2 linked regions of the Elephas maximus indicus genome follow. The protein of the gene in region 2 purifies or fractionates together with the protein of the main gene of each other region. This does not show direct contact. Links are inferred from orthologs where the notes say so. Each region holds a gene or a part of one and is shown on either strand. Other genes may lie near its edges. The genes, in order: GART and INPP5K.

The links.
Region 1: the proteins of INPP5K (region 2) and GART purify together in Homo sapiens (co-immunoprecipitation; 3 studies listed by BioGRID and IntAct, counting the BioPlex papers as one, with this or other methods). This does not show direct contact. The link is inferred for Elephas maximus indicus from reciprocal best matches to the Homo sapiens genes INPP5K and GART.

The regions. Positions count from the first base shown.
Region 1 is NC_064836.1:28,046,166-28,062,270, forward strand, and holds the start of GART (trifunctional purine biosynthetic protein adenosine-3), read left to right. Parts: upstream 1-8,354; 5' UTR 8,355-8,463; intron 8,464-9,432; 5' UTR 9,433-9,471; coding exon 9,472-9,616; intron 9,617-12,337; coding exon 12,338-12,433; intron 12,434-12,998; coding exon 12,999-13,173; intron 13,174-14,640; coding exon 14,641-14,752; intron 14,753-15,820; coding exon 15,821-15,889; intron 15,890-16,105. Other genes in the region: protein SON, read right to left, coding at 1-1,665, 4,077-4,243, 7,382-7,458. UniProt on the Homo sapiens protein: Trifunctional enzyme that catalyzes three distinct reactions as part of the 'de novo' inosine monophosphate biosynthetic pathway.
Region 2 is NC_064837.1:20,170,253-20,186,294, reverse strand, and holds the start of INPP5K (inositol polyphosphate 5-phosphatase K), read right to left. Parts: upstream 7,401-16,042; 5' UTR 7,119-7,400; coding exon 7,066-7,118; intron 7,060-7,065; exon of another isoform or gene 5,862-7,059; intron 5,132-5,861; coding exon 5,024-5,131; intron 4,695-5,023; coding exon 4,586-4,694; intron 1,433-4,585; coding exon 1,316-1,432; intron 985-1,315; coding exon 809-984; intron 230-808; coding exon 118-229; intron 1-117. Other genes in the region: PITPNA (phosphatidylinositol transfer protein alpha isoform), read right to left, coding at 12,215-12,259. UniProt on the Homo sapiens protein: Inositol 5-phosphatase which acts on inositol 1,4,5-trisphosphate, inositol 1,3,4,5-tetrakisphosphate, phosphatidylinositol 4,5-bisphosphate and phosphatidylinositol 3,4,5-trisphosphate.

The sequences.
Region 1 (16,105 bases), on a different chromosome or scaffold from region 2:
CAGGCTGCCCGGGCAACTCCAGCACCCCTGTTGCCAGGGGCTGCCCCAAAAGCTCCAGTGCTCCAGCTGCCCCAGACTGCCCCGAGAACTCCAGTGCCCCCGCTGCCATGAGCTGCCCAGACAACTCTAGTGCCCCAGTTGCCACAGGCTGCCCCGACAACTCCAGCGCCCTAGTTGCCGAAGGCAGCCCTGGCAGCTCTGGCACCCCAGTCACCGAAGACTGCCCCGGCAACTCCAGCGCTGTCGTTGCCACTGGCTGTCCTGGCAACTCCAGCACCATCGCTGCCTCGGGCTGCCTCAGCAACCCTGTTGCTGTTGTCACCTCAGCCTGCCCAGGGTGTTCCATCGTTGTCATCCCCAAAGGCTGCTCCAACTCAGTCGTCGTCACAGGTTGTTCGGTCAACTCCATTGCTACTGTCACCACAGGCTGCCCTGGCAACTCTACTGCCGCTGTCACCACAGGCAGCCCTGGCAACTCCTGTGCCATCACAGGTGGCTCTGGCACCTCCTGTGGTGGCTCCAGCCCCACAGATGATGCTGGGAGCCCTGGCAATTCCTGCAACAACTGTGGCACTGGTGTCACAGAGGGCCCCGGCAACTCAGACACTACAGTCGCAGGGGGCCCTGGCAACTCAGGCACTGGGGTAGAAGGGGGCCCTGGCAACTCTGGCACCGGGGTAGCAGAAAGCCCAGGTAACTCCAGCGCTGGAGTCACAGAGGGCCCCTGCATCTCCGGCATGGAGGTCGCAGGTGGCCCCTGCAACTCCATCACTGAAGCCACCGACGACTCCGGCAGCTCCAACGCCGTGGCCTTAGGCAGCTCCAGCAACTCCTGCGGTCTTGTGATGGATGAATCTGCACTCTCCAATGGTACTTCTACAGGCTGCTCTGTCAATCTTAGTACGTCAGGTACAGATGACTCTGGAAAGCCCGTTGTTGTCGATGTGCTTGGCTCAGGGTGCACCTCAGCAGATGTCTCTGAGGATTCCACGAGGGTTTCTGCTGACTCTAGCATTTTTGCTACTGGAGGCTCTACCAACACGATCTTTGATGGCTCTGGAGATGTGCTCTCCAAAGGTTTCAGCACAGGAGTCATCTGATACTCCATCGACATTGTTACAACCGGCTCAGGTGACTTCAGCACTAGTGCTGGGGTAGGCACTGGTGCTGCTGGAAAGCAATCCAGAATCTTTGCCGTGGATGGTTCCAGCATTACTGCCATAGAATGCTCTGACTGCTCTGAGATGACAGATGTAGACTCAACTTGCAATTCTGCAGTCTTTGTAGCTGGCTTCAGAGTTTCAAAGTTGTGTGGCTCTGATACCTCCATTGCAACTACAGGAGGTTCTAGCACAACTGCAGGGGAATCACCGGTCTCAGATAAGCCAAGTGCTCTTACAGGATGCTCCAGTCCCATCACTGAAGGCTCAGAATCAAACTTCAAAAAGGAATCTGATTCTATATCTATGTTCCCATCATGATGAGATTTTGGCTTTGACTCAGGTTCTTCTGGCTGTCTTTTATATTTTTTCTCCTTTTCTTTCTTCTTTTTCTTTTTTTTATTTTTGTGCTTTTTATGCTTCTTTGACTTTTTGCTAGGAATTTCATCAGTAGGATCTGTTTGTACAGATACACATCTACTTTTTCTGGAAGCCTCCTTCAAGTCTGAAATTAAGAGAAATTAAAATTGTCAGACATCCCCCAAAATAGATTTAGATAAATGACATAAACCAAGATTTACATTCCATGTTAAAACACCATTGTATGACACCTCGTTATACTCACAAGGCACGTATTTATATGTTTATACCCACATTTACCATATGTTCACACTCCTGTGTGCACTAATGAGATACAAAGTTGCCATATCAACTATTTTTTGTAAATCGACTAATTTGAGGACTAAAGCTGAGATTAAAAATATTAGTTTATTCCAAAAACTTATCTAGAAGTAAGACGTGTTTTACCAAATTCTACTAAAATTTTCTCCAGCTCACAAATTCCAGAAAATTACTTTTAAACGACTCTTTCATATTACTGTTAGAACTGCTCTACCAAGCCAACCAATCACTGCCATCAAGCCGATTTCAACTCACAGCAACCCCATAGGGTTTCCAAGGCTGTAAATTTTTACAGAAACAGACTGCCACATCTTTCTCCCACAGCGCCTCCGGTGGTTTCAAACCTCCAACCTTTCAGTTAGCAGTCAGTTGCTTTAACCACTAAGCCACCAATGCTCCTTAGAATTTCTATAGTAATAGCTAAATTAAATAATCTTTTGATGAAAAGTTTTACACAGCAAAACATACGCCAAATCAACAAATTCTACACATACAATTCCGTGGCACTGATTACATTCTTAAAGTTGTGTAATCATTCTCACTATCCTTTTTCCAAATTATTCCTCCACCATTAACATAAGCTCACTGCCCTCAAAGCTTCTCATCTAACCTTTTCAGTTGCTACTGTCAATCTGACCACACACAATACTTTAAAAGAGAACAATCAAACCATTTTTGCAATTACTTTATAACCCCTTCTTATATAGGAAGCAACATGGCACCGGCACTGGAACAGACTGCATGCTTTAGGTCCCGCATCTACCACTTATTAGACAAATAGTCTCAGCCAAATGACTCTCTGTGCCTCCCAGAGTTAGATGACTGAGTTAAAACAGAGGGACACTGAACAAAGCCTGGCACACAGTAAGCACTCAGCAAATGTAAGCTCTAAGCTGATATTACTATTGTCATACAGTATACAAATATCTGAATGAGAAATGTAATCAATACAATCCTCAAATTTTATCTTATCGCACCCATCTGTTACGTTCCAATTTAAAAAAAAAAAAAAAAACTTCCCCCCAATACTCTTCTGAAATTACTAACAATTTTTTTTCCTTTTTTTTTTTTTTTAAATAAAGTGGTTTTGGGGAGAAAATTCTTACAGCCTTTAACATCTAATTTAAGAGCATTTCAATTTGCATACGCTAAAGTATGTGGTTTATAATTCGTTTTATAAGCAGATGGGATTTAATCTAATGCCAATATCAAATTATATAAATCAGTGATCCCAGAAAAAGCTGATCAGAAATCCAGGCCATTAAGACTACAGAAAAAAATAAATCAATACATGAAAAGACACACGCCAAAGCAAAAGTAGTCATTTTCTACCAAATACTGTTTATTTTATGACACCAAATGTTAAGTTAGCTAGTATGTACTTCCAGAGAGCGACGATTCTAACCATGGCTAAAATCTATGCTTTTTAAACCATATTCCATGTCAAAAAGAAGACCAAGCACATCACAATTCCAAGACTAAATGAAGATACTGTTTTTGTCGTTGATCATAAATCCTTCACTTCATCAATTATTTATTTCTTACTAAAAAAAAAAAAAAATCCAAACAATGATTCCCTCCCCAATTCATTGCACTTTTAAGTAGGATGGATGCAAAAACAAAACAAGCTCTAACCAAACCAAACCAAACCCACTGCCATCGAGTCAATGCCAATTCATAGCGACCCTACAGAACAGACTAGAACTGCCCCATACTTTCCAAGGAGCGCCTGCCAGATTCGAACTGCTATCCTCTTGGTTAGCAGCCATAGCACTTAACCACTACACCACCAGGGTTTCCAAAACAAGCTCTAAGCTTGGGCTTTAAAGTAAAACTTTCCAGGGTAAATTTTAAAAGTCACTACTGGTTTGATCCAGGCTCCTGTACCTTTCAAAACAGGTATTTATACGAGTGTTTTATGAAAACCTACATTCAAAATCCTGGCACTGAGGTATTACAAGACTGAATTAAATAAAAGTCACATTCCACCAGCAAAGCCAATAAGTGCATCAATGCTCATGTTTCAGTACAACTGCATTTGCAAAGAAATATTTAAACAAGAAAGTCTGCGACGAATCAATTAAACAAAAACTTAAATGTACTGAAGTTTTATAGCTAGTAGACATTTTAAATACCTTGCAGTCAAAATATAATACTATTAACATTCAGATTTCAAAAAAAAAAAAAAAAACCTTGAAACAAAATTTTTGAGATAGCTTATTATCTCTAACTTACCTGGTTTATATCGTAGTTCTGTATCTAAAACCCCAGAAAGTACTTCCTCTATCTTTTGCACTATTTCTTCATTTGGTAGGCTCCTGGCAGAAGCAGCTGAATCACCTGCCTGGTTTCCTTCAATAGGTGTACTGGTTTCACCATTCAGCTGGCCTTCATTCCTCCCACTTGATAAGAGAAGTTACCAAAACTCATTAACATTTTTAATATACCATACAATAAAATCAACACTCATAGTTCAACTAATTAAAATAATTTTATAGCAAATTCTTCATAGAATTCACCCCTTTTATGGTTCGTTCAGGTGCTATTTCCAGTAACAGTGCTGCCTTAACACTATCTACTTACCTGGTACATTTTCATTTTTACACATTTACTTATTAAAGTTCTCAGAACTGCAAAAGTAAATTTACCTTTTTTTTTTTTAAATAAAATACTCCCAAAATTTTTAATTGAGGCTTTTGGGTTACACAGGTTATTTCCCTCAAGTACAAAAACTATTAAGAGCCAAATCACAAATTCAAAGAAAAATATATGACCTAGCGTTAGAGTAGAAACTATGGGTACAATCAAGCTATGCCTGTGCATAGATCACGATTACCTCAATAATATCCCAGAACACAAAAATTAGCCACAGACACATTAGGTAAAAAAGAATATAACATAACTTGTAGCCTCAGATCAGGTTTAGACTGCTAAAAGAATATCACAAAGCGTAAGAAGAAAAATACATGCAGGAAGTTTTAACCCAGTTATAAAAAAATCCCAGTACCAAAAAATTTTATGATATTTAAAAAAAACTCACAAAACAAGCAATAATTTATTATACCAAGAAAAAATGAGTGGGTAGTCTAACATATTTTCAATCTACAGGGCCAGAGAATATTGACAGATATAAGAACATATCATTTACAGTTGTTTTTTTTTACTACTATCGTATAAATTAACAAAAATGTTTTCGAAAAACCATATAATTTCAACAGCTCAATTCTACCTAACTGAAAACAACAATTATGCTCAATACCTGATAAAGGTCTCAATGGTCAAAAAATGAAAATACTCACTAGATAAATCTTAATAGGAAATATTCAGTTTTCTAATACAACGAATCATGTAAAAACTAACACTTAACTACTAATTAGGTGTCACTCTTCTACATTTTTAACTAATTTAATCCTAACAAACCTCTATAATCATGCCATTACTCTCATTTGGGGAGGAAAATGAGGCACAGAGAGAACAAGAAACTTGGCTGGATGTCACACAGCTACTTAGAAATGAAGCTGGTATTCATAAGCAGAGCATCCTCTTAACCACCAACTACATACAATACTTATGTTACTTATCTTAAATATCTAAAGGTCAGCCTCATTACCCACACTGATGTACCTAAGAGCAGACGGAGAAAAAACCTTAATGAAATGGCAAATAATCCAAAATATTTTTAAATTGATAACACATTACATGTTGCTTATGGTGAAGCTACGTATCTTGTATTTCGACAGTAATAAATTGCTTTCTCTAATACTCTTTTTAGACTTTGAGTGCTTCTTTTTACTTTTCCCAAACACTTATTATGTAACTCTCCCTTCTAAAGGACCCCAGATTGAAAAATCAGAAAAGTACACTAAAAAAAGTTCAATCTATGAGGAAATTATCATGATTGAACCTTATCTCTCAATTTTTATGACTGCTACCAGGATGCAAACTGAAATTACTAAAAAACAATGAAAATATCAAACAACCTAGCTATCCAACGATACATTCCCACAATGGAATTCTACACAGCCATGAACAATGTTGCCAAAGATTACCGAGATTGTGGTATGACAAACTTGTTTATATATTAAGTGAAAACCAAAACAAAGAAAAACAATCCCATTGCACATAACATATATATAATTACAGATCTGTATCTGCACAGGAAAATAAAGGGGCATAACACCAATAATTACACGGGTAGTTTTCATTTTCTTTCTTTTAAATATTCTACAATAATATTTATTTTCTAATAAAAAACTGATTTTTGTTACTTACAAAAGCAAAACTTACACACTAAGCAAACACACGACTTTCTGCATGCCACTATTAAAAAGCTTTCAGGGAAATTACATTCCCTTTGCTCAAGTTTTCTTTCATTATCCTAAAAACATTAGCATATAATTTTTTTAAAAAACCATATAATGAGCAGATACATTTCCCATCTAAAAAACAATACATCTGCAAAAATAACACTTTGGACAATTTTAGCAATATTACTCCATTGCCCCAATAATCTCATGTTAATTCGGACACTTAATTTACAATCACGCTTTTATTTTCAAGTTTACTCACTGCTCATACGCTCTACTTTTAACACACAACTAGCAAAAACATTCGAACTCAAATATCTGACTTAAGCTTTCTTTCCTATCTCTACACTTGAAAATAGTATTTTACACAAAGCAAAAATATTAAGACAACCACTGAACAACAACACGACCCACAGTACTTTCCTCTCTGAGTAAACAACTGTTTCTTTGGAAGTCACTTCCCTTTCTATTTGCGTGGAATCAAGCCTAAACTCCAGAACATGTATCAGCGACAGTAAAAGTAGCGGGTTGGTCAAATATGTCAATTGGGGCACGAGTGGCAAGAAAAAGCAAACTACACACATAAGCCCACTTTCCACTTGTTAAAATTAAAAAATGACTCATACCCCAAAGAGCCCTACCATCCTCACCTCAAATATTTTTACAAAATACCTAACTAATTTCAGCTACTTTCATTTCAGTCTCATCAGAATGTCGACGGACGGAAATCATAAGACGCTGGGGCCCGAATAATCCAATTAACGAATGCTCATTCCCAAACCGTCTGAAGATTACAAAAACAAAGCGGGCTGAAGATCACCCAAGAAATGGCCGTTGGAGACCCTCTCCGGTCAGCGGCACCGGCCGGCCAGCTCGGCCGAGAGGGGGAGGGGAGCGGCGGAGGCGGAGCCGAGGGGCCTAGGCCCGGCCGCCGCGGACAAGCCGGCCTGCGAGGCGTTCAGGCCTAGGGGGTGGCCGGCCGGGAGAGAAGCGCCAGCATCGTAACTCGGCCCGAATGAGGGAGCCCGGGTCACCGCGGAAAGGGCCAAGTTCCTCGCAGGGAAGCAGAGCGCGGAGGGGGGAGGGGAAGCCGGAAAATGGATCCCAGGCCCAGGCGGGGCTGTAGCGGGGCCCGAGCCGAGGAACGACGGCTTCTCTGAAGAAAAGCCCCAGGAAAAGCTACAATGGGCCCTAACGGACCCTTGGGACGAGAACAGTCTGGGAATCGTTTACCTGGAAAGTTCCTGTTGAATTTCCCGGAATTTGCTGACCACGAAAGACCTAAAAATCTGCTCGATGTTGGTCGCCATGGCGTCCGCTCCGTTCTCTCAGCTCCTCCTCGCTAGTCCTCCAGGCTCCCAGCATGCCTCGGGAGGCGGCGCTGCGGCCAGTTCCGTCTCTCCGCTTCTTGATTGGCTCCTGTAAGAGCGATGGCACAGGCACGCTTTGCCGTCGAGCCAATCAGTGAGCACGGTTCCACTTTCCTCCGCTGTTCCTGAGCGGCTGGGGTAGAGCTGCTGACGTTTGCGCCGCGCACGGCTCAGTCCGCCATGTTAGTGTCTGACGCAGGCGCCATTACAGGAGAAACCTCTCCCGAGGCGACTGTGTCCGCTTATCAGTCCCCAACATTGTTTTGGGGGGGGGCGGGGCCGGAGAAAGGGGTTAATAGGTTTATTTAGCGACTAAATGCCCGAGATTAAATGCTATGAAAAAGGGGGAAATGTTTTGACATGGGGCCTACAGGCGTCCCCGTGTGGCGCCAAGTTCTGTTCGGTCAGGGAGACGCATCCAGGAAAGCACGGGCCAGCCCGCGCCCCTATTGTGAGAATGCGGAGAACACGCTTTCACCCCGCCTGTCCCATTGCAGCCTATCATCGACCTCAATCTTAGCCAGAGGCCGGAGGTCCTGAGCGACCGGTTCTCAAAGCCGGGCGCGTCACGAGACTTTGCGCTTTGGCTGCTCAGTGCGGACCCTCGCTAGCAGCGCCCCCTCCTCAGAGCTGGGAGGCTCTCGGGCTGCAGCGGCGACGTTACGTGGCGCCGGTGTTAGTGTCACATTCGGAACGTGCGCCGCTTGACAGCTTTGCTCAAGAGCAGGCTCTGGCCGCGCCCGGGGGCGGGAACCACACTGGATTACCTCGCCGCGGGGACCGAGCGCAGAGCAGGCCAATGAGGCGGCGGCGCCCGCCCGGGGCGGGGAGGAGCGCGGGCGGCGGGAGGGTGCGCGTCGGATCCGGCCCGGCTGACTTCCGCCGCGGCGGTCCGGCTCGGAGCGCGCCGACGTGAGTTCGAGTCGGAGCGCGGCCGCCAGCTCGGTGCGTGAGCAAGCCGCGGCCTTGAGAGAAAGCACGTTTGTGCTTGGTGTGGCTGCTCGGTGTCGGGTGTGGCCGTCGGGATTTTCGTCTTTGTTTCCCAATGTGGGGGGTGGAGGTTGGCCACGTGCTCTTCCCTTGCTCTTACCTGGGGCTTACGTTGGCTTTATCACCTTTCCTGCTTTCTGTGGTGTCAGGGCTTTAACTTTCTTGTCTATTTATGTTTTCTTAGGCCCAAGACTTAAGCTGTTGTGCCCGTTTTATGGTGTTTTGTTTCTATGCACCCATTGTCTGCAGCAGATTAATTAGGTCCGCTTTTGTAATTGGTTTCTGTTTTTATTATTCAGCAAAGGGTTGGAAATAGTTTTACCCGGCTTTCTTGTTCTGGTTATAAGTTGCTCGTTTTAAATATAAGGCGACTGAGGCCCGAGGAGGGTAGTTAAGTTACTCAGGGGCTCCCAGCTAATGAAAGGCAGAGTCTCAACCAAAACCCAGGCCTCCGAACCACCCTGATGTAGATCGTTTCGGGCTAAGTGATGCTGTTTCGTAATTAACTGTTAAAAAGTAAAAATTGTTGCTGTCGAGTCGATTCCAACTCACAGCGACCCTATAGGACAGAGTGGAACTGTCCCATAGGGTTTGCAAGGAGTGGCTGGTGGATTTGAACTGCCGACCTTTCTGTTAGCAGCCGAGCTCTTGACCGCTCCACCAGGGCTCCTGATCTATTCCTTCACTGCACCTGTTATTCCAGGAAAATGCAGTCCTTTATCTGGATTTAAGGATAAGTTTATCTCAGATATTTCAGTCCATGCATTTTCCTTGAAAATACCTCTTATGCCCTCCTAGTGCAGTCGTTTCTCTGTTTATGAATCTCAATTTTTTATTCAAAAATGAATCCCAGGGTTCATTTGCAAATCGTGGTTTCTAAAAGATGTGCACTCTAAAATATCAACCGTGGTTTTCTTTATGCAGCGTGTGTTTTTCTTCAGAGTTCCTGCTTCACAGACAACCATGGCAGCCCGAGTGCTTGTCCTTGGCAATGGAGGAAGGGAACATACTCTGGCCTGGAAACTTGCCCAGTCTCATCATGTCAAACAAGTGTTGGTCGCCCCAGGAAATGCAGGCACTGCCTGCTCCGAAAAGATTTCAAATGCTGGTAATCGTGTTTTAAAGTGGGAAATAGTAGTTATGGTTTGTGATACGCTGTCAGCCACCTCTGGCCATAGATTGCTATTCAGATGTTTTTGTTTTGTCAGCCTTAAAAGTTACGTGGTAATTTGAATATCTGCATGTGTAGTAAGCCTAAGGTATTCTATTCTTCATGATGTGACATTTTCTTCTCTTAGGTTACCTTAAACCCATATTTTATAAAACACGTTCATCGAAAAAGTAACAAGTACTTAATAGTAGATTAGAAGCATTTCGATGTCTATTTTTGGAAATGAAAAGTTGAGCAGTTCTCTGAAAATGTAAATCCTGGTAATTCTAATTCCATAATAGATCTCAACCCTTATCCCTTCCACTGATAAAAATGATCAGTTCACACACTACGTTAAACTCTTTGGCAGCTTCCCATGGCAACTAGAATAAAGCTCAAACCCTTTATTGTGTCTTACAAAGCCTTTTGTGATCTGGCTTCCTTCTGCCTTTCCAGCCTTTTCTTTTATGTCCCTTTTTTCTCTTTTCACTGTGCTTCATCCATGCTCTCCTGCCAGTTTCCCAAACAGAGCTCTCTTGGACTCAGCATTTGTTCCCGTCATTCGGGCCTCAAATGTTACCTCAGAGAGACCTTTCCTGAAGTTTCTAACTACAGCAAGTTTCCACCCCGTCTCATTTGTTTTCTGTCATGAGCCACTGTTTATTTTTACTCTTTCCTTCTGTATTGTCTGTCTTTTCTCCACCCACCCCCAACCCACCCACTAGAATGTAAGCTGCGTAAGGACAAGGAACTTTTCTATCTGATTTTGCATCCTGTCCACACTGCCTAAGTACTCTATGTGGCACGTACTAAGAAAAAAACAACGAAGAAAATGCATGCTTCCCTGGGGTTTTAGCTCTTGGGGTGAGGTGCAGTGCTGAATCTGTTTACTGGAGAACTGGTACACTTTATTAAAACATGATACCCATCAGAGCCTCCTAAGATTGTCATAAGGCTGCTAGCACTGGCAGCTGCCGAGGTTAGATGTGTACTCTCGCTTTTACTGAGCACATGCTGATGTAGTTGGCTCTACTCAGCACAATTATACATGGAGCTCTTAACCCAGGGTACACGGTACTCCATCCCTACCTGAGTCAAGCAGTTCCTGTGGGTTGAGAACTCATGACTTTTTCTGGATATGTACCTTAGGCATCGCAGATACTACCTCTTGCCCCATCCCATATAGGTATGTGCGGAGTCACTGAGGCTTCAGCCAACTGAAGAATGGTAGTTTAGTTAGAGTGAGGCAGAGAGCGTCTGTGGGACCCAGGCCTGGTACGTGGCCAGTGCTACTGCTAGTTACTTAGAGCTGCATCAGAAAAGAAAATTTACCTGGTCTCTAGGTTGAAGAGGCGAACTGGGTCTTAACTAAAATCGTCCATCAGTTCTTAGCCTAAATGTCTCTGCCTCAGAGAGAACCATCATTATAACTGAAAACAGCCTCCCAATTCATCTCATATCACATTTGTGCAATCTGTTTATACCCAGTAGTTTCTCGTTTAGATGTTAGTTACCTGGCTTTGCCACAGTGGAACGTAAACATCGTAAGTGTAGATGCCCTGTTTATGTTAATATCTTAGCCCCAGTGTTTACGATACTATCTAGCACGTGTTTGTTAGCTGCCCAGAGAGTCAGCCCCTGACTCATGGCAGTCCGTGCACAACAGAACAAAATGGTGCCTGGTCCTGCACCATCCCCATGATTGGTCACAGATCAAACCACTGTGATGCATAGTTTTCGTTGGCTGATTTTCAGAAGTAGATCGCCAGACCCTTCTTCCTAGTTCGTCTGAGTCTGGAAGACTAAACACGTAGCACATGTCCTGTGCCATCGAGTTGATTACAAGTCATAACAACTCTATAGAATGGAGTAGAACTGCCACATAGGGTTTCCTAGGCTGTAACCTTTACAGGGGAGCCCTGGTGGCGCAGTGGAGCTTGGCAGCTAACCAGAAGGTTGGCAGTTCTGAATCTACCAGCTGCTCCTTGGAAATCCTATGGGGCAGTTCTGCTCTGTCCTGTAGGGTCACTGTGAGTCAGAATCGACTTGAAAGCAATGGGTGTGGTTTTTGTTAACCCTTACCGGAGCAGGTCGCCAGGTCTTTTCTCCCACGGAGCAGCTGGGGGGTTCCAACGGCCAACCTTTCAGTTAGCATCCAAGCACTTAATTATTGCACTGCCAGAGTTCCTACCTAGCACATAGTGGGTTCTTGATAAATCTTAACTGAATGACATTAAAAGACCAGTTCCAAGTATGCTCTGTGATAATACTTTGTTTGCTGTGTAGTCAACACTGGTGATGTGAACACCACAATCAAGAGAGATAAATCTTAACTGAATGACATTAAAAGACCAGTTCCAAGTATGTTCTGTGATAATACTTTGTTTGCTATGTAGTCGACACTGGTGATGTGAACACCGCGATCAAGAGAGCACTTTACAGCTCTTTTGTAGGTTAGCTGGTATTTTCTTCTAGCTGGCTACAGTGATGGCAGAAAACTGAGCTTCGTTGGTTAGCCCGATGCTCTCTGTTCTGAATTTCTCACAGTGAGACTCTATAACAACAAGACCCTCAGGTAACAAGCATACCAAAAGACAGTACTTGGTTTTTAGCCTTACACTTAATTAAACAAAAAGTGCTTGTGAATGACGTGGGCTGTTTTGTTTGTTTCCCTGACAGCCATCTCCGTCAGCGATCACACCGCCCTTGCTCAGTTCTGCAAAGATGAGAAAATAGAATTCGTGGTTGTTGGACCAGAGGCGCCTCTGGCTGCTGGTAAAGTTTGTGTCTGTTTGTTGTTGCAGCATGTACAGTGTCTACGGGAGGTTTAAGATCTTCTACTCTGGCTCACGTTCGCAGATGAGGACGTCTAATACAGTGTCACGTTGGGAAAGAAATTTCACTCTTCTGAAATTTACGCATCCTAGATCTTTTCTCAGACAGTAACGAGATGAGTGCAAGGTCAGATTTGTAACCCTAGGGAACGTTTTGTGTGTGCCAGTGGTCTCCTGACTCTTAGCCAACTTTGGGTACTGTCACACATATATAAGGTAGATAAAAGTGGGCTGGGTTCAGTCCTCGGTCTCATTTCATTCTGCTCTATTCTGGCATCCATATAATAAGTTCTGTAATTGTATATAACGACGTTTGCTGAACTTGAGTCACGTGTTAGTAACGTTATCATTTATATTTATTAGACGACTTGAAAAACATAGCTGTTCATCTGCTTTGTCCAGATGAGCCTGGAAATGGAAACTTGGTTTAAATCCTACTTTGTCTTCAGTGTGAAAAGCCCCTGGAGAGGACTTGGTTCACTTAAGGCTCCTCGTTTCCTCAACAGGAGTTGTTGGTAACCTGACATCTGCAGGTGTGCGATGCTTTGGCCCCACAGCAGAAGCGGCTCAGTTAGAGTCCAGCAAAAGATTTGCCAAAGAGTTTATGGATCAACATGGAATCCCAACTGCAAAATGGAGAGCTTTCACCAAACCTGAAGAAGCCTGCAGCTTTATCATGAGGTAGATCGCGGGCTGCCTAGGAAGGGCAGTTGTTTTGTTGTGAGATTTAAATGCATGGATCACTTTTATGTTCAAAATGTAATGGTACGTGCTTATGCTGAGTCAGAAATTTAGAGTATGGTTATGAAAAAAAAGAAGTTCACAGTAAATATTGGGTAGGTCACCTTTTACTGATATCAGAATAAAATGGGATCCTACACCTATATTAAACTCTGGCGGCATAGTGGTTAGGAGCTACGGCTGCTGAACAAAAAGGTTGGGAGTTCAAATCCAGCAGGTGCTCCTTGGAAGCTCTGGTGGAGTTCTCTGTCCTATAGGGTCACTATGAGACGGAATCAACTTGGCAGCAATGGGTTTGGGTGTTTTTTGGTTCACGTGTATTTATACGATCTCGTGACCTTGCAGAAAGATGATTTTCCGATTAGGAGCCCTGGTGGCACAGTGATTAAGAGCTATGGCCAAAAGGTCAGCAGTTCGAATCCACCGGCCGCTCCTTGGAAACCCAATGGGGCAGTTCTCTGTCCTATAGTACCTCTGTGAGTCGGAATTCACGCTACAGTAATGAGTAATTAGTGAGTCTTTCCTAGAGACGAAGTCCCTCCCGCCCTGCAGTACTGTGCTCTTTTCACAGCCAGATTGACAAACAGCAGTGTTTTCAACATAAAGGGCATTGATTTTTTTGTCATAAATAATTAACCAGGGTGACGAATTATCGTTTGGTCTGTTGCCATCACTCCAGCTCTAAATCTTAAAGGCAAACATCCTTTGTTCTCTAATGTGGAAAACATTGAGCAATTAGTGAATGTTGGCAGACACATTCTTTTGCCCCCCCCCTTTTTTTTCTGACACGTCTTCCTGAGACTTGGTGTGTTTTTCTTTCATTTGAATCAATTTCATTCCTTATGATGATTCTATAGGGTTTCTCAGACACTGAATATGATTATTTAGTAGTAGCCAGATGCCCTGGTTACGTCTTTCCAGATCCCCAGCCCCACTCAACAGAAGAAGCTACCAGCAGCAGCTTTATATGTGGACTTCCAGAAATGATCTGTGTCTACATCCTTGTATTGGTCTTAATATAACCACGTTTTCTAAGTGAATAAGCATAGGGTTTGCTACTTTGTAATTTAAAGACCTTTCCATATTTCCTCTATTAAAAAAAAAAAAAAAACCTACTGCTGTCCAGTCGATTTTCATCCACTCTATACATCTGTTTTATTCTTACGAAGATTGTTTTCATAACAGAAAAAGCTTAGGTGATGTCATGATAAGTGAAAAAAAGCAAAATTGAATGTAGTGTTACAGTCACAACTGTAAAGGAACGTGTAGGAAAAAATCCCGCTGGGAAGGACATCAGAATCACGATACGCCACAGTGGTCGCAGTAACATCATTGTAAAACCCAAGGGACTTAAAACCTGAAACAGTGAGGATTTGTTGGACGTTGAAGTTTAATCTGTCTTCACAGTGCAGACTTCCCTGCATTGGTTGTGAAGGCCAGTGGTCTCGCTGCTGGGAAAGGGGTGATCGTTGCAAAGAGCAAAGAAGAGGCCTGCAAAGCCGTCCAAGACATCATGCAGGTAGCTTGATTTTTCTGGAAAAGTTCAGTTTTCTATTCACGCCGGATGTACTGTTTTTAGTTGTAAATATATATGTAACAAAACACTTGCCATTTTAACATCTTACTTGTACGATTCAGTGACGTTCATTACGTTCATCGTGTTTTCCAATCATCACCGCCATCCGTTTCTACATTTTCCCATCACCCTTCAAAGAAGCCCGGTGTCCCCTGAGCAGTTGAGTTCCTTTTTCCCCTTCCTCCTTGCTGTCCGTGACCACTTTTATACTTTGGTTTCTATACACTTGCCCATTCTAGACAATTCGTATAAGTGAGATTATACAGTGTTTGTCCTTCTGGATAAATAAATGTCTCTCAAGATGGGGGGAAACACATCTTGCAAACACACAGGTCATGTATTTTTCGCAGTAGAGTGTGTATTACAATCCATCTCTGTAAAAGGGTATTGTAGATCTACACTGGTGGCTAAATCTGACTCAATTCTTTTGAAATAAGTTCTAGCATCCTTTGTTGTCTGCTACTCAAAAGACAGAAAATCCTCAAACTACAGAGTATATAATTCTCAAATCAGCTGTGAGGACAAAAGTACATGTCCTGTGTATCCCAAGCCTAAGAGGAACAGAGCAACGAAGTAATACACTTGGCTTTTCTTTTGTGCTCCATCTTGGCTGTTGTGGGTTTTTCTTCCGTCATACAAATCTGCCTTCAGAGGTGTATTTTGGTATGATTATTGTAGACAGACATACCTAATTGGGAGTAAGGATTATATGACGATAATGAAAATATCTGTTTTCCTGTTAAAATATTTGAAACTTGAAAGCCAAACCTCAGGAAAGCGTTAGTAATGTGATCACTTCATCTGTGCCAGTGCCAGTTCTGCATTGTTGCCACACTGAAAATCAGCATTCGTTTATTCCACTGAGGCTTTCAGAAAGGACAGGTCAGGCAGCTACCAGCATACTGGGTCGTAATACAAATGGTGGAAAATGCAGAAGTCAACTAGGTGAAGGCTAAAAGCTTAGAAATTTACTGACTTTTTGTTGTCGTTGTTGTTAAAACCTACAATTAGGACAAAGCTTTTGGAGCAGCTGGAGAAACAGTTGTCATTGAAGAGCTTCTCGAAGGAGAAGAGGTGTCTGTACGTATACTTCTCGCTGTTGGCTTTTATACCGTCCTAGGTGGTTGGTTTAGTCATCTAGTGCTGCCATGACAGAAATACCACAAGTGGATGGCTTTAGCAAAGAGAAATTTATTTTCTCACAGTCAAGTAGGTTACGAGTCCAAATTCAGGGCGTCAGCTCCAGGGGAAGGCTTTCTCTCTCAGTCAGCTCTGGATGAAGGTCCTTGTCCTCAG
Region 2 (16,042 bases):
GGACTTCTGAGGCTGGGAAAGGCAAACAAACCCTGGGGAATCTGAGCCACTCTCCCCACCCGTCCTGTCAGATCACGGGCTCAGACCACCCCCCGGGACCCTCCCCTCACTCCATACCTGGTCCTTCTCCCACAGTTCACCGTAGCACCGGTTTTTTATGGATTCTCGAACAAAGTGCAACCCAAAGTCCTCGATTCGAAAGTTCATGTCTCCGAACCAGAGAATGAGGCTTCAGAAAGAAAGGAGGGCAGCCTGAGGGTTTGTGATGAATTCAGAAAAGGGAGGAGTAACAGGCTGCTCAGACCTGCTCAACCCAGGGGCTGCTGGAGAGTGGAAAGCTCCAGGGGGCAGGTGAGAAGCCAGATGTTAGAAGAGCATCAGGTGGAGACAGGGCAGGGGCCCAAATGGACTGTTCTCATGGTTCCTGTACCACCATTCAAGCCGAAGAGACCAGCCAGAGGGGCAAGTGGCAAATATGGAGCAAACTGCAGCTCTCCCTTAATTGGCCACCAGGGAAGGCTCAGAAACAGCCCTTCAGGTGACCTCAGGAGCCACAAGAATCTTGACCTGGGATGTTCAGAAGCGTTCATGGTTTCTAGCCAGGGCAGATGGACTAGAGGAAGGGGAAAGGGATCCCAGAGCCCAGTCAGGCAAAGCTGGGTCAGAGGGGAAGACGTGGCATCAGGAAGGGGCTGGGAGACAGAGCACAAGCTGACTCTGGCTGGGGAGCGGTGACTGGGGAGAGGATGCTAAACTGGGTTGGCGTAGGGGAGAGGGCAGAGGTGGAAATCGGCAGCTCTGCGCTCACTCGTGGTCCAGGATGTTGGGGATATCATGTTCTTCAAAATTCTGCATCTCTAGGATCCGGTCAAAGTGCTCTAGCCGCTGGTCATTGTTGGCCAGGTGTGGGGGCAGGTGGCAGTTGATGATGCTGACATAATAGCCGTAAAGCTTCAGGCAGATGTTGATGCCCCCTTTGTTCCCCTGGTAGGACAGGTGGGCAGAAGAGTGGGAAGCTGCTCTGGGTTGGACACACCTTTCTTTCCCCATCCTAGACCCGAGGGGAGGTAATCTCACCTCCCCTAGGCCCTCCAAGGGCCAGACACTCAGCTTTGCAGGGTAATCTCTCATTCAGAGCTCAGCTCACCCAGACTAAGGTCTCAGGAATGAGCTTGCAGGGCAATGGCCTGGAGACAGTGCAAAGGTTCATTTCCCCCTTTTTTCTATTTGCCTGGCTCTAATGCATCCAGCCCTTCCCAGCCCAGGCACAGGAGGCCTTCCCGGCTTGTGACTCAGACAACAGCTCAGTCCTTACCCAGTATCCAAAGAGGCCAGTGGGGGTGGATTTGGTAGAGAGAATCTGGATAAAGGGCAAATGCTGATGCTTGGCAAAGACCAGTAAGAGGAGCCCCTGCATGCGGACACAGGAGACCTGCAGAAGAGCGGGAGCAATGGTCGTTCACTGAACTGACAGGCTGAGTGCCTCCCTGCCAGGCCCTGCACTGCAGGTGCCACAGAGCCCTGAGACACACACAGTGCCCTGGCCCAGGGTCGATGCTATCCCAGTTTCAGCCTCCGTGTTTCACTCCTTTCCTCTCCTCATCTGCCAGATCACGCATTCTGGGAACTGAGCAGGTTTCAGTTTCACCTCCTGGGCGTGGGGAGGAGGGGAGAGTGGGCCAGGACACCCTGCCAACAGCAGGGCATTACTCTTCATTCCTCGCCCAAGCACGTCTACTGCGCGCCTCTCACCACTGCCCTTCTGAGATCCTCCAGGTACTCTGGGCTGCCACTTGAGCTGGCAGGGCCTCAAGGAGAAATGTGGCTATTCAGGAGCGTGCTAAGGAGGCTTTGAAGTTAGCACGATCCGGGTTCAAATCCCGGCTCTGACTTAGTATTTGATACTGAACGTATTTCTCAGTCTATTTTCTCACTGATGAGCAGAGATAGTACTACTGCATAGATCTTAAAGGGGATTAACTGGTAGCTGTTATTTTTTGGTTCAAGGACTCTTCAAAGTAAACACAGGGAAGGAACATGAAAGAAACTTCTAGGTGCTGGAAATATTCTGTATCTTGATTTGGCTGGTGGTAATGTGGGTGTGTACGTATGTAAAAATCCATCAAACTGTACACTTAATATCTGCACACTTTCCTGTACACATTATACTTAAAAAAAAAAAAACAAAAAACAACTTTAAGTAAATGCTCCCCTCACAAATAACGATAGGCTGTGGGCTGGTGGATATTCATGATGGTAACGCAGAGTGGGTGACAGTGAGTACAGAGGATGTGTGTTTGCAGGTTGGTGAGAATAGCTAATATCTACTGAAACGTTTTATACGCATTATTTCATTTAACTTCCCAGGCCAAGCCTGTAGGAATCATTGTAATGTTTCACAGATGAGGGAACTGAGGCTCAAGGAGGTTAAGGAACTAGCAGGATGACCTGGCAAGCGGCATCAGAGGAGGAGGACAGCCCAAATTCCCACCGTCTGAGGCCATGGGGGTGGGCTGGGGAAAGGCCATAGCCAGTGACCCTCCTTCTTAGGCTCAGGCTGTCTACACCCACCACCCGAGTAGCTGTTTCCGGAGCACGAGGTATAGAGGCCAAGGAGGAAATCCCCGGGTGGGAAGCGTGTACTGGGGCCTTCCAGGAATTATGCAACATGATCCCACAGGCCAGGGAGTCCTGGCACAGTGGAGCAGTCAAAGCAGGGGGAACCCCAAACCCAAGACTGAGTGGGGGGGTGGCAGAACCTGTGGTTGGGTGAGGTTACTAAAAAATTTATCCTAAGCCCCTCCTCCTGCCTTCTCTCCCTCCCATTCACAGGCTTCTAAGACAAGGGAAGTGGAAGAAGGGGTGGAATATGAGGAACCGGCTCCCAGGGTCAGGATCAGAGGTAGGGAACTGATCGAGACTCAGGAAGAGTTTTGAGCTTAATCCTCACCCATAGAGCAGGTGTGGGCTACTCAACTCCACCGAAAAGGGACCAGTCCACTCTGTTAAGGAACAGGGATGGAGGATGGAGGATGGGGTTGCGGCTGGGCAAGATCAGACTGGGAGAAAGGGCGGGGCTAGCGGAAAGGCAAGGCAACTTCTAGCGGAAGTCCCAGTAAAAGGAAATGAAGGAGGAAGAGCTAGGGAAGGGATTGGACGGAGGTGGCTGGGAGTCCAGGAGCAGGCAAAGGGGTCAGCCTCTAGCTTCTCAACCTACGTTCGGTAAATCCCCACTCAAAGAACAGGCTGCAAACAGGGCTCTCCTTTCCACCCTGATTCTTGGCTGGAGGAAGGAGAGGCATTCGCTCTGGGTCCCAGGACCTGAGGCTGGCCCTCTAAACTCAGGAGGCTGCAAGGATGGAATGGGTTGTATCCCTGCCACAGCTGAGCTAATTTCCTTGGCTCAGTTCCATTCTGTCGGTCCCCTCCCAGTCAGCCAAAGCACAAGGCCTGCAGCCCTGGGAGGGGAGTAGGTGGTGAGAGAGAAGGAGTTTTGCCCTCCCCAGAAGATCTAGCTCCAAATCCACAGGAAGAGGTCTCTGAGTTTGATTTGGAGAAAACCAAGTGCTCAGGGGCTGGTAGTTTCTAGGACCAAGGCTTGTCTTCCCTCCTTCCTCTTTGTACTCAGGCCAACTAGTGTAATGGAATCATCCTGTGTGGGCCAGAAGAAGCCCACCTAGGGAAGGGAACAGGGAACTGTGGTGTTTCCAAGAAGCACCCTAGTAGCTGCATTAAATGGGAGCGTGTTTCATTGCTCTGGTGTGCAGGGCAGAAACAAAGAGCTGCCAGCCTATAGCCTTCGTGTGGATTCATTTGCCTATGATCCAAATATTTCCAAAGTATACTTGTCCCTCAGCCTGAGAACCTTTTCCTCCACACCTATCTCCCTTTCCCTAACCTTGGGGCCCTGAGAAATCGAGGTATATGTCCCCTATGACGGGAGGACACCCTCTGCCACCAGCAGGCTAGCCATGGGATACCTGCCAGCCTTAAAGCTCAGGAGTATAGCTATAAAGCACAGTGGTTAAGAACACAGGTTACGAAGTTTGAAAGAGAGATTCAAATTCCAGATAGCTTGTGTGGCCTTGGGCATGTGATCTCTGAACCTTGGTTTTATCTGTAAAATATCCCTATTTCAAGACGGTTGTTAAGATTTTTACATAAAGTATATAAAGTGCTTACTTACAATGCTTAACACAAAGTAAGTTTGATAAATGGTAACAATTATTATCACACTCAGAGATTTCAGGCTAGGTGTGAGCAGAGACTGGAGGCTAGGGGTAGGGCAGGTATTACGGTGTTCACACGCTTTGCTGCACTTCCCCTAGGAATTCTCCGAACCTGAAAAATATCAAGGTATTAGACTAGCCCCTTGGGCCTCACTCAGTTCCAGCTGCTCTGGAAAGCCACGAGGCAGGCAGGAGCCTTGTGGAGCCAAATGCAACCAAGATTTAAATCTCTAAATAAATGTGAAGCAGCATGAAAACCTGAGCGGGAATAAGAGGAACACATCAGACCAAATGACTGGGGGTTAGTGACAAGTGGTGGGGCACATTTCCCTATCACCAATGAACTTGTAAGTTACCTTGACGAAGTTCAGAGGGGAAAGCACATCCATGAAGAAACTGCTCCATGGGTCTTCAAAGGCAGTATCATAAAGAAGGCTCCTGATCCCACAGTTCGTTTCCTGCAAACTGACCACCCCAGGTCAGAGGCTCTACCCCTGGCCTGGAGGGTACTGCTTCTGCCACACTTAGCCCTACCCTCACTAGACTTTTAAGTCCTGGGTTCTGATGACCATGGTCTCTTCCTCCCCTGGCTGTGGGTCTCCATCCCCTTGTCATTGCTGACCCAGGACAAGAGACATGGACCTGACCCGATGCAGGCTGAAAGCTTCTAGCCTTCAGACTCCAGAGTGTGGGAGGACAGGTTACAGCGGTTCCCCACAGGGACAACTTGTGAATGGTTGGGCTCACCTGACCTCAGATCTAGGGGTGGGTGAAGGGGCCCTGCAGACACCTACCCAATAATATATATGTCCAGATTCAGGTTCTGGTTGTTCAGCTGAAGAAGGTCATTGAGGTCTAGTGGGGGTGCTGCAGAGGCCACGTTCCACGTCACAACGTGTATGCTGTGGAGGGGATGCAAAGGGAAGTCATGGAAGAAGGAGGATAAGACCTTGTCCAGGAAATGGGAAGGGGTGCAGGCCTGTTAATGCTGCACCACAATCCAGTGCACTTATAAAGAAGAAGGTGAGATTCTGTATCGAGCAGTGGGAATAGGGGCAATGAACAAGCTTTTGTTGTTTTTTACCTCTGTCTCTTGAGGCAAGAAACCCTCACTCTGAATAACTCCTCCACACAGGCCTACAGCTGCTCACACCTGGGAGCACTGGGGCTGCTGGCACTAGTAGAGCTATCAAAGGGGGCCCAAGGTTTCTGGGTCAGGCATGGGAAGAGGTGGGATTTGCAGGAAGAGATGGAATTTGTTGATTCCATCAGCTCTACGAGCCATTCAAACCTCAGCAATCATGGCTCAGGCAGCAACTGCCCACCCTCACTTTCTCAACCTAAGGATTTCTGAAACCACCAGGAAGATCCTGGAGGCTCTATTTTCACCTGTGAGAGGCCTCGACACTACAAAGACAGAAAAATTTAAAAAAGCACAGCAACAACATACATATATTCCCTTCCTCACTGCTTCCTAGCAGATACTTGGAGCACAACCAATTCTGCCAAGTACTGCATGGGGCCTAAGGAAAAACCAAGTAACAGGTTTCTCAACATCTCTCTAAAGAGTCTACCCTCCTTTGGGAAAAGTCATCATCTGGGTAACATTCTCCACCTCAACTTCATACGAACCCTTGGGAAGCAACAGCACTAAGTCAGCAACTCTCAATGACACTGGATCGCATCAGAGGCTCAGGAGAAGGCAGAATTGGTGATCTCTTTAACCGAATTGTCACAGCAACACACCAAGGAAGCCCCAGGCTGTGCTGAGTACAGAGCAGACAGGGGCTGCAAATCCTGCAGAGACCGAGAATAGCCATCAAGCCCCATGAGTTCTAGAGTGTCCACACCATGAGGAGAACCTGCAGCAACTGAAGACCTAGAATGGGACTGGGTACTGGGGGGTGGAGAGGTGGGAGAAAAGGGCAGGATATCACAAAACACCTCTTTTCCGCAAAACCCTGTTCTTGAAGGTCCATGTTCTAAAAAGCAAAACTTGAAAAAACCGTTAGCCTTCTTAAAGCAACTTCCTGCCCCTCCCTATGAACACAAAAAGCAAAACACAAACTACCTCCCCAGGCACTCTGCCCGGCGTAAGTGCTTCATTTGTTTACCATCTCCCCCTGCTGTCCAGCAGAAGATTAAGAAGGGTTGCCCTTTAACTCAAAGGCTCCTTGTATTCTCAGGATTCTGCTTCTAAGTGGAAACAAGAGCACAGCTTGGGATTTCCTGCCCCAGTTCTCAGGTCCGACGATTCAGCAGCAAATCCTTGCATTGTGACCTGCACCAAGTGAGTGATTAGCGTTGTTCCCCGGTGAGAAGAGGCACGGGACTAGGCTGCATTACTTTACTAAAGGATTTTATCTAAATCTGCACATTTCAGGAGGTCACAAGCAGATTAGACAGACCCCATGATGTATGCGCTGATCGAAAGTTAGGGCACGATTTCTGCTCTAGGGCTGAAAGGAGATGCCTTGTTATGTCTTTAAGTTCAAACAGCCCAAGACGGCTGCCTCCTCCAAAGGCCACCTGGGACACCTGCTTGGGGCGCCCCAGTGAGAATGAACTCGGAAGCCTGAGTTTAGAGTGGGCACGGGACTCGTGTCCAACACAGCCCTCTCAACAATGGCCTGGGAGGGTTTGGGAGAGAGACAGTTATCAGAGAAACAGTTGGACGGAAAGCCGCCCATGGGTCAGGCAGCCTCTGAACCAGAAGCAACCAGTAGGACCGTCCCCTTCCCTCTCGGCCTGGGTCCGCCCCCAGATCCACTGCCCCGACAGGGTCTGGGGGAGCGACCCCGCCCAGAGCAGGCACGCCTACAGCAGTCTGCCTCACCTGAGCTTCCTGCCTCTCGGCTCGGTCGGTTTCAGCAGGTCCACGGCCGCCATCGTCCATAGGCAGTGGCGCGGCAGGCTCCCGTTTCCCCAATCCTACCCCGTCCTGGCGCGACCAGCCTCTCCGGCGTCAGACCCCGGAAAACTCACTCCGGCTCGAGTGTTTTTCTTCCGGATTCAGAACCTCCGCCTCGGCTTCCGTAAGAGGCGGGTCTTGAGCGCACCGAGGGCTCTGGGTGGTGCGGCTCCGTGAAGGAGGCGGGACTCTCCGACCAGCGCGAAACGGTGAAAGGCTGCGGGGTGAGGGCCTTAGGGGATCATGGGACGTAAGAGGCATGTCCATCTGTCATCAGAGCAAGACGCAACACTGCCCCACCCGGCATACCGGTGTGTGGTAGACGCCGCCGCCCGGAACACATCTCTCGGCGGTCCGCAGCGCCCGGAACGCCGTGCGCCAGGCCGGCCGGCATCGTCTTCCGGCGGAAGCCGCCGCCGCGCCCGCACGAGAATCCTCGAGCCGCTGCTGCCCACGTTGGCTTTTCCGAGGCTGGTGGTCCCTTTCGCTAAAGATGAAATCTGAGGTCGCTGACCTCTGTGCTGTCTTTCCTCCCGTTTCCCAACGCCCAGAGACCTAAATGATGAGGGCGGCGAGGTAGTCTAGCCACTGTCTTACCTGCAGCCCAGTATCTTCCCCATCAACTACAGGCAGTTTCCCCAGTTATCACGTTGATCAAGCTCCTCCATTCTTAGTTCTCATGCTCTACTCCCACTTTCAAGTGTTTTACGCTTTTGAAACTCATTGGGTTACTTCTTGCACGTGGGACATTTTGGGGCTCCTGGACTCTTAGAAAATTAACCATCAATGAATGAAAAACAAGTCACCACCTCTAAGACCAGACATATAAAATTAAGACTATTTTGCCAAAGATCTACTATAATTTCCGTCAAATCACTTGGTTCTTTTCCTTTTTTGGGGGGGGTGGAGGGGGAGGCAGGGGATTCCTTTGAGGATCTCATGAGAGACACGACTCTCCCCAGAAAAACAAACAATTTTACAAGCAACCCTCAGGAGGTTCATAGACCCCGAAGCCAGGTTAAGAACTCCTACTTTAAATGCTTTGCCTGGTAGAGAGGGAGATGTGAAGAGGAGGGGAGACAAAGGCATTCTACCAGTACAGAACAGCTAAGTTACACTCAGATATGCAATGTTTGCATATGTAAATTGATAAGGCAATGTTTTAACTTACAGAAATCCACCTGCACAAATTTTCAGACACATCTTGTAACCTTCCCTAATCCTTCTCTGGTAAAATAGGGGTCATGAGCAAGAGTTTGAGGATATCTAAGTTGTAAAATGTGCATAAGGACATCATCAATAAGCTGGACTCCAGAGAGCTCTGTCTAGAATTTTATTAGACTGCTTTTTTTCCCCAATATACCTGTATTGGAAGATTGAGACAAAAAGGCACAAACTCACATTAAATAAACAAGGTAATCTAATCAATTCTACAAAGTATATTTTGTAAAAGAAGTAGCACTAGGAACCAACCAAAACAAGTCGGAGGGCGGGGGGAAGGTCCCAGCAGGGACTGTAAGAGACGAACTCGGGAAGGTATACATGTGCCCACAATACTGACCCTGTCTCCGACCTCTCTCTGTGAGAAGGCCAGAGCCCAGTAGCCCTTCTACAGAGGCACTGCTGCTTCCAGACAGGACTATGTCCCTGGAAATCTAATGGAACCAGCTGGTCTGAAGGGGTGTGGCACATCCTCGGGTAGTACCCCTGGAGCTGAGCCCTTCATCCTAAGCCCCTCTGAGTGCTAGTTGGTTTGGGAGATGGGTGAAGAGGGAAGGGGGTATGTAAAAGAGGTTGACCACTGTTACCCAGCAGCAACACCACCCATGAGGATGAAGTGGACCAGGGACCTGCCTTTTCCGTATTTATGTGAGTAGGAACCCAAGATCCAAGCTGACCTCAGGAAATTCTAGCTCAGCTCATGTAGATGCTTTTATTCCAGATTAAACTGGGGCAACAGGTGAAGGTGAGAAGAGCCAGAGAAAAGGCAGCTAAAGAAAAAGCCCCCACTAAAGCTGAAGTGATATGTGTGGCTCTCAGCTGAAGGAAGAAGACATCTGCTGATCCTCAAATTACAAAAACAACTGTCTGCTTAGAATATCGTTTTGTTTCTCTTAGGATAACCCACATCTAGACTTCACCTAGTTAATGACTGAAAAAGGGAAGCCTTTATGCACAAATAAAAGCAAGAGCTAAAACAGCTTGTAGGAAAACATTTACATTTTTCTCCAGTAGGAATGCCTCTTCTCCAACTTCCCCAGTCGAATAAATGCTACTAGCAGTTGGGACGCTAATAACCAACTGGAATGCTCCAGATCCATTACTACAGACTCCACAAGGTGAAGAGACTAATCAAGAGGAAGGTGTCTGTAATAGGACATCTCCTGGTCCCCAAGGGGCCTCAATGAAGGTCAGAGCTAGCCACACTAAGGGGTCTGAGTGTCCACCCTTGCCCCAGAAGGGCCACAGGGAAGCATCCATCAGGGTGTCACAGGTGCAATCCTGTGAGATACTCCCTTATTGCACTTAGAAATGAGTAAGGCAAAGCAAACTGACAAAAAACATAAGGATAAATTATCCCTCCCCCCCCCAACTCCTCACTCCCTTCATGGAGACTCTATCTCTTTTATTAGCAGTTGCATCCAGGCTAGTGTGGGCCTGGATGATGGCACACTCAGGCCAGCAGACTTCACCAGATTTGGGAGAGAAATGTCAGGTGACACCATAGCTGTCTCAGATTCTCCCACCACGTAGGCATACTCCAATTCTGCCAAATCACAGGGAACTGTGAGCCCCTTAGCAGGTTCCATTCACCTGGAGCCTGGACTTCCTCACTAGCCTACTGTGCTAGAGTTCTGTACTACAACCACTACTTGCATTTGATTATCTAGGACAGAACTCAGCATAGGGGCAAGACAAGCTGAGTCCCTGATCCCCAATTTCCTTTCCAGCAACCCTGGAGACTAGTGGGAACATGATTTGCTGGGAAGGAAGCTTTTTGCATGCTCATTTTGTGCAGCATGAAAAGATCAGGACTCAAGCCCTAATCAGCCTCAAAGACAGAGGACAGGGATCTGAGAAAGCACAGAGAAAAGAGGATTATTGCTGAGTGGCAGCACCAGCCCAAAAGGGAAGAGGAGCACTGACATACAGAGCTCCTCAGGGAGTCAGAATGATGAGTATATACGGGGCAGACTCAATTCTAAAGGCCAAACAGGGCAAGGCTCTCTAGGTGGAGAGTTGGCTGGGGCATATGACAGGCTCTGCACAGAGATTCAGACAGAGTGGGCAACAAGAGGGTTGAGAAGCCATAGGTATTTCTAAGAAATAGTGGCCAGAGGTGCAATGCCTGGCACTGGGGTTATTTGTATTTGTTAAATTTTCTTAAAGAGACTGGCTGGGCCTTGGGTGCCTCCTTGGTGCCTAGAGCACTCTAACAATGGATTACCGGGAATAGATATCCGAGTTATGACGCCACTCTGTTATTCTGTGGAACTGGGGGGGAAAACGCTGTATTTCTAACTCATCCCCTCTCCCCAGGTGAGCACTCAAAATTGCAAAGATCTGCCCAGGAAGCAAAATACCTCAGTTTACCCCAAGGTTGAAAACAGACTTAAATCATTTAAATCACCACATCACAAAAGGCAGCTATTTTGAAAGACTTAAAAATGTCACTTGGAAATAAAATTGGGGGGGGGGGTGGACACACAGAGAAATGGGTCAGAACACGATGAAGAGAGAGGGAGGAGCTGTAAATACAGCAGCATACATGCCACATCTCTCAGAGGAGCAGGCTCCCGCACACACGGCCTTCATAATACCAGATGGTCTATTTGTTCACAACAGTAAGGGGCATCTAGGGTTAGCTACAGTAAGGGATCGAAAGTTGCCTGAAGAATGGGCACAGAAAGGCGCGTCCGAAGGTGGCCTGTCACTCGGGAGGGTAGAGCTGCTGGGCCTTCCTGTTGACCACTGTCTTGCAAAACTAGAAGAAAAATACAATTATTAAGGAAGCAACAGGGGGAAATAGAAACACACTGTAAATCACCTTTAATGGGAGAATTTCAAAAGGAAGAAAGATGCCAGTCAGTGGAGGGCTGAGGGTGGAAAGGGAGGGCACTAAAGCCCAAACAGTGGCTGAGAAACCGGCACTGCAACAATCTCCTTAATCCTACCCTCCTGGCTCCCAGCGGCTGCTTCAAGGGGCAGGGAGAGGAGAGGAGAGCAGAGGTGTGAAGCACTGCTGGTGAGGCCCCAAAGCTCCTGAGTGCTGGAGGCTAGCCAGTTCTGATTTGATAAAATAACTTTCTCTCAGAGCTTGATGGGGAGCAGGGCCAGGTTTTTCATTCTATGGCCAAGACCACACTGTGCTGCTGGCAACTGCAAGTCTGGAGGTGTGTAGGGCACTGGGGAACCAGCAGTGAGGAGTCAATGGAAGGATGTGTAACAAGGTAGAACAAGGGATACCCCATCCTGGTCCTGTGGCCTGGGCAGAAAGACTCTCCTGGCATTGAAAAGATGCCACCTCTCATGAGGATGGCTGTTTAGTATGGGATCAGGGGTATAAAGGAGGAGGAAATGAAGCACCAGACACAACAATGGGTGCTAGGAAAAGCTGTCTGGCCAGCAGGTTTCCCAAGGGCAGGGCGGGGAATGCCAGCATTTGGGAACTAGGAACCCGCTCTGGCACAGGGAGTATAGGGAGTGCCAGCTTCAACTTAAAATGGCTCAGATTTTGAGAGGAGAAGAGTAATTACTATAAATAAACTTGGATTCCATGTGCATGCCTCCCCACCTCCCCTTCTCACCACCCTATGTCCATCTAGGCAGTTCTTTGTAAAACAACATGTCCCTGAAATATCCTAACATCCATAAGCTCTCAATGGGCCCTGAAGCCTGAGAGCTGTTTAGCATGGCAGTCATCATCATTACTAGAGGGAAGGATGAGGAATGAAGCAGGTTTCTGGCTCCACGCTGAGTTGCTGAGGCCTTGAGGGCCCAAACAGATTTTAGGTTTCATGACGTTGTACAGTGAGAAATTCGGTACATACAGTGCAGAAGGGGGAGGGTGGCTCTAGTCATCCGCTGTCATTCCTTTCACTGGGTCCTTCTGTCTCATCTGGAACAGAAGAAGCAGAGAAAACTGAAGGCTCTTGCTGCTACAACTACAAACACATCCCACCTTCCCTCGATCCTGCCAACAGATATGGTAAAGCATTTTTTTGTGCACGAAGCAAGAAACTGGAAGGACCGGATTCAGAACACATCCGCCACAGCAAAGGCCGCACCGTTTATAATCTGCCTCCCTCTCCAGCTTCCCAGGGTTGAGGTTAGGTCTTAAGCCCCCCTTTTTCTTTAACACATATTTATGAAGCATCTCTTCTGTGCAGGAACTGTTCCCGAGCTGGGGATTCAGCAGTGAACCAAAACAGACAAAGCCTCTTCCCAGGGAGCTTACTTTCTGGGGCAGGGTGAAGGGAGAACAAACATACATGTCAGGTGGGGCGAAGGGCTGCTGGGGATGAGAATGGCCGTGGGCAAGTGCTATTTTGTAAGCTGGCTATGGAAGTCTTCTCTGGTTAGTGACAGTTGAGGAGAAACCTGAGGAAGCAAAGCCAATGACTCTCGGGGGAAGGAGTGATCCAGGCAGAGGGACCAGCAAGTCCCCCTCCCAAGCTCTGCCTAGGGGCCTCGTCCAGTTAATCTGCCAGAAGTATCAGGTGGCCACAATGGGGAATCAGAGTGCGTCACAAGGACTTGACAATGGAAAGGGCAGGGGCTAGATCGCAGCTTCACAGAAGTGCTAGGCTGCTGGAAAACAGGGTGGGCTCCTCTGAGTGGGCACTGGCACCTCCCTAGCAGAAGTGGGCACAAGTTCTTGGGGTGCTGGGGAGGTTGATTTCTCTAAAATCCTTTCCAACTTCAAAAAATTATGGTTCTATTTGCAGACTGTCTATGAATTTGTGTGTTTTAACTTCCCATTAGAGGTTTCTTCAATACCCAATAGCTTCCTGCTCTACTTTCACTCTTGATGCATTCAGCAAACTGAACACATGGGAACGTGACCTGTAGAAGCAAAGTGCCTGGGTGGTATTCTGGCTCCATCACTAATCATGTGACCTTGGGCAAGTTCCTCTGCTGCTCTCTAAGCCTCAGTTTCTACAACTATAAAATAGGAGTAATAATCGCACAGACATCATGCGGTCGCAGTGAAGAATAATCAAGATACGCAGGCAGCGTACTTAGAGTGCCTGGCATGGCGTATACACTCAATATATGCTATTTATTATTCTGTTGTTATTGCTTTGTTCCAGACACTCCAAAGGGATGTGCACACAAGCTCTGAAGAAGCTGGAATTTTAAGTGGCAGCCCTCTTCAGAGTGCTAGTCCCTGAAACTTTAACACTGCCACATTTTGCAAAGATTTTGTCTTAGTATCAGTGGTTCTCTACTGGAAAAAGTTTTAAAAATTTTGCTGCCTGCCACATCTCAAACCCATGACTAGACTGAAAGGGCTGACTCAATAGGGGGAGAACAAGTGGGAGAAGGGAGTAAGATGTATGTAAACCTACATGTGACAGACTGATTGCAACGGTAAATGTTCACTTGAAGCTTAATAAAAATTAATTAAAAAAAAAAAAAAACCCATGACTATCGGCCCTCCACCCCTGCTATTATCATCAGTCACTCCATGCAGAAACAGGGCATGTGCGTGGTCAATGTTCTCTGCCTGCCACAGAGGTTCCAATATTCACCACCCGACTTGATAACCTCGATAACTTGGCAACCCCAGTGGAGTAGTGGTTAAGAGCTATGGCTGCTAACCAAAAGGTCGGCAGTTTCAATCTACCAGGTGCTCCTTGGAAACCCTATAAAGAAGCAGTTCTACTCTAACCTATAGGGTGACTATGATTCGGAATTCATGAGACGGGTTTGGTTTGTTTTTTGGGTTCTTGATAACTATGAAGGAGTCCTGGTGGCACAATGTTTAAGCACTTGGCTGCTAACCGAAAAGCTGGCGGTTCAGACCCACCAGCCGCTCAGCAGGAGAAAAGATGTAGCAGTCTGCTACCGTAGAGATTACAGCCTTGTAAACCCTTTGGGGCAGCTCTGCTGTACCCTATAGAGTCCTTATGAGTCAGAATCGACTTGATGGCAAAGGGTTTTTTTTTTTTTTTACAACTATTACCCTAATTACATTAAATGCTTTCGCTTGATCTTTTAGGCCAGGGTGTCCTCAAATTTGATCAAAATAATTGCCTGGGATACGTGTAGGTTCTTGGGCCCTAGACCTGCAGAATCTACAGGAGACAGGGCACTGGTGAGCCATAAAATTAATCAGTCTTATAAGCCTCACTTGTCATGGTCCCCAGCAAAGGTCCTCTGCTCCAAAGTGGAAAGTCTGTTTTCCTAGGTCCAGATCTTTGAACAGACCCTTAGCTCCACCTGGAATGTCTGCCTCCTGTAGATTCCCCTCAAATCTCCTTCCCTGTATGGCATCTATAAATTATTACTGCACCTGTAACTTAAATCATTCCATGCCTATAGATACATTATTTTATGAAGTTTAAACAATTGTTTCACAAATTCAACAATTTCCTACATGAAAGAAATCTGTTAAGGACAAGGGCATTGGCTCATTTCTAAAAGACAAAGACTTCACCCTGTGGTGTTAGACTGGAACTGGAGGCATTTGTGTGAACACAATATATACATAAGATCGATATAAATACAGACATCAGGATTCCCTAGCACTATCCACTGAGAGGAACCAGGGTCAGCAACACCCCAACAGTAATGAGCATACCTAGCACCCAGATCTTGGTGGTTTCCAAACACCACCCACCTTCCACTAAAAAGAATGAGGGCTGCTTGGAGAAACGGGCATTTCTAGGGCTAGGTTATGGAAAGACTGAGATGAGCCTGGAAAACCTTGTTGTGCTTCAAGTGAACCAAGTTAAGATCAGTGGTAACTAAACAGATAGGGTATAATGAAAAGAACACCAAATCTGTGATATTCTGCCTTCAAATACACAAACTGGGTGGAATCAGGAGGAAATATCAGACAAACTCAAACTAAGATGACATTATACAAGCTTATAACCTTCAAGAATATCAAAGAAAAATGGAGGAACTGCAGTGTGTGGTCCTGGGTTGGAGCCTTTGCTACAAAGGAATGAGGTCTCTGGGCCAAGGGGTACACAGTTTTTTGCACCACTGTTGCCAATTTTCTGTAAGTTTGAACCTTTTTCAAAAATAAAATTTCTACAAAGGCAAAACTTTGCTCACTGAATGTCTGCTCAATAATAACAAAAGAATGACCATTTATATAAATTTTCAATAATCAGGGAGGCTCAGAATTCAATGTTATGAGAGCAAAGCTCCTTGGATCTCAAGCAGATCCTTGTGTATCTTGAGAGTTCAATGCCTTGCTTTAATTTACTAATGCAAATTTAGGTCCTGTTTTCCTACTGGTTGCAACGAGATGCAACTTTCTATCAGAGAACTGCTGTCAAAGACAAGGTCCCCCAGAGGGTGCCACTGAAATAAAAATTCATTGTTTCATTCTTGTAATGAAATGCTCTAAGAATGTTTATTTTCTGGTGCCTATATGACATGAGAGATTTATCTAATGTTTGTAGTGTTCCCCACATCCAGCCACTGCAGGCACACACAAAGTATATGAAAATAGAAACTCCAGTTTCTGATTTTCTTTTAAAAAGTGGATCCTTATTTACAGTGGTTACCTCTAGGGAATGAGGCCAGGGATTGGAGGAAAGGGATTTTTACTCATCTATTTATCTACTTATTTATTTGGACTTCTACTTTTTTAGTTTATTTTTTCTATACCTTCTGTAAATTGTTTTTACTCTTAAGTATGAAATATCCTTTTGATTAAAAA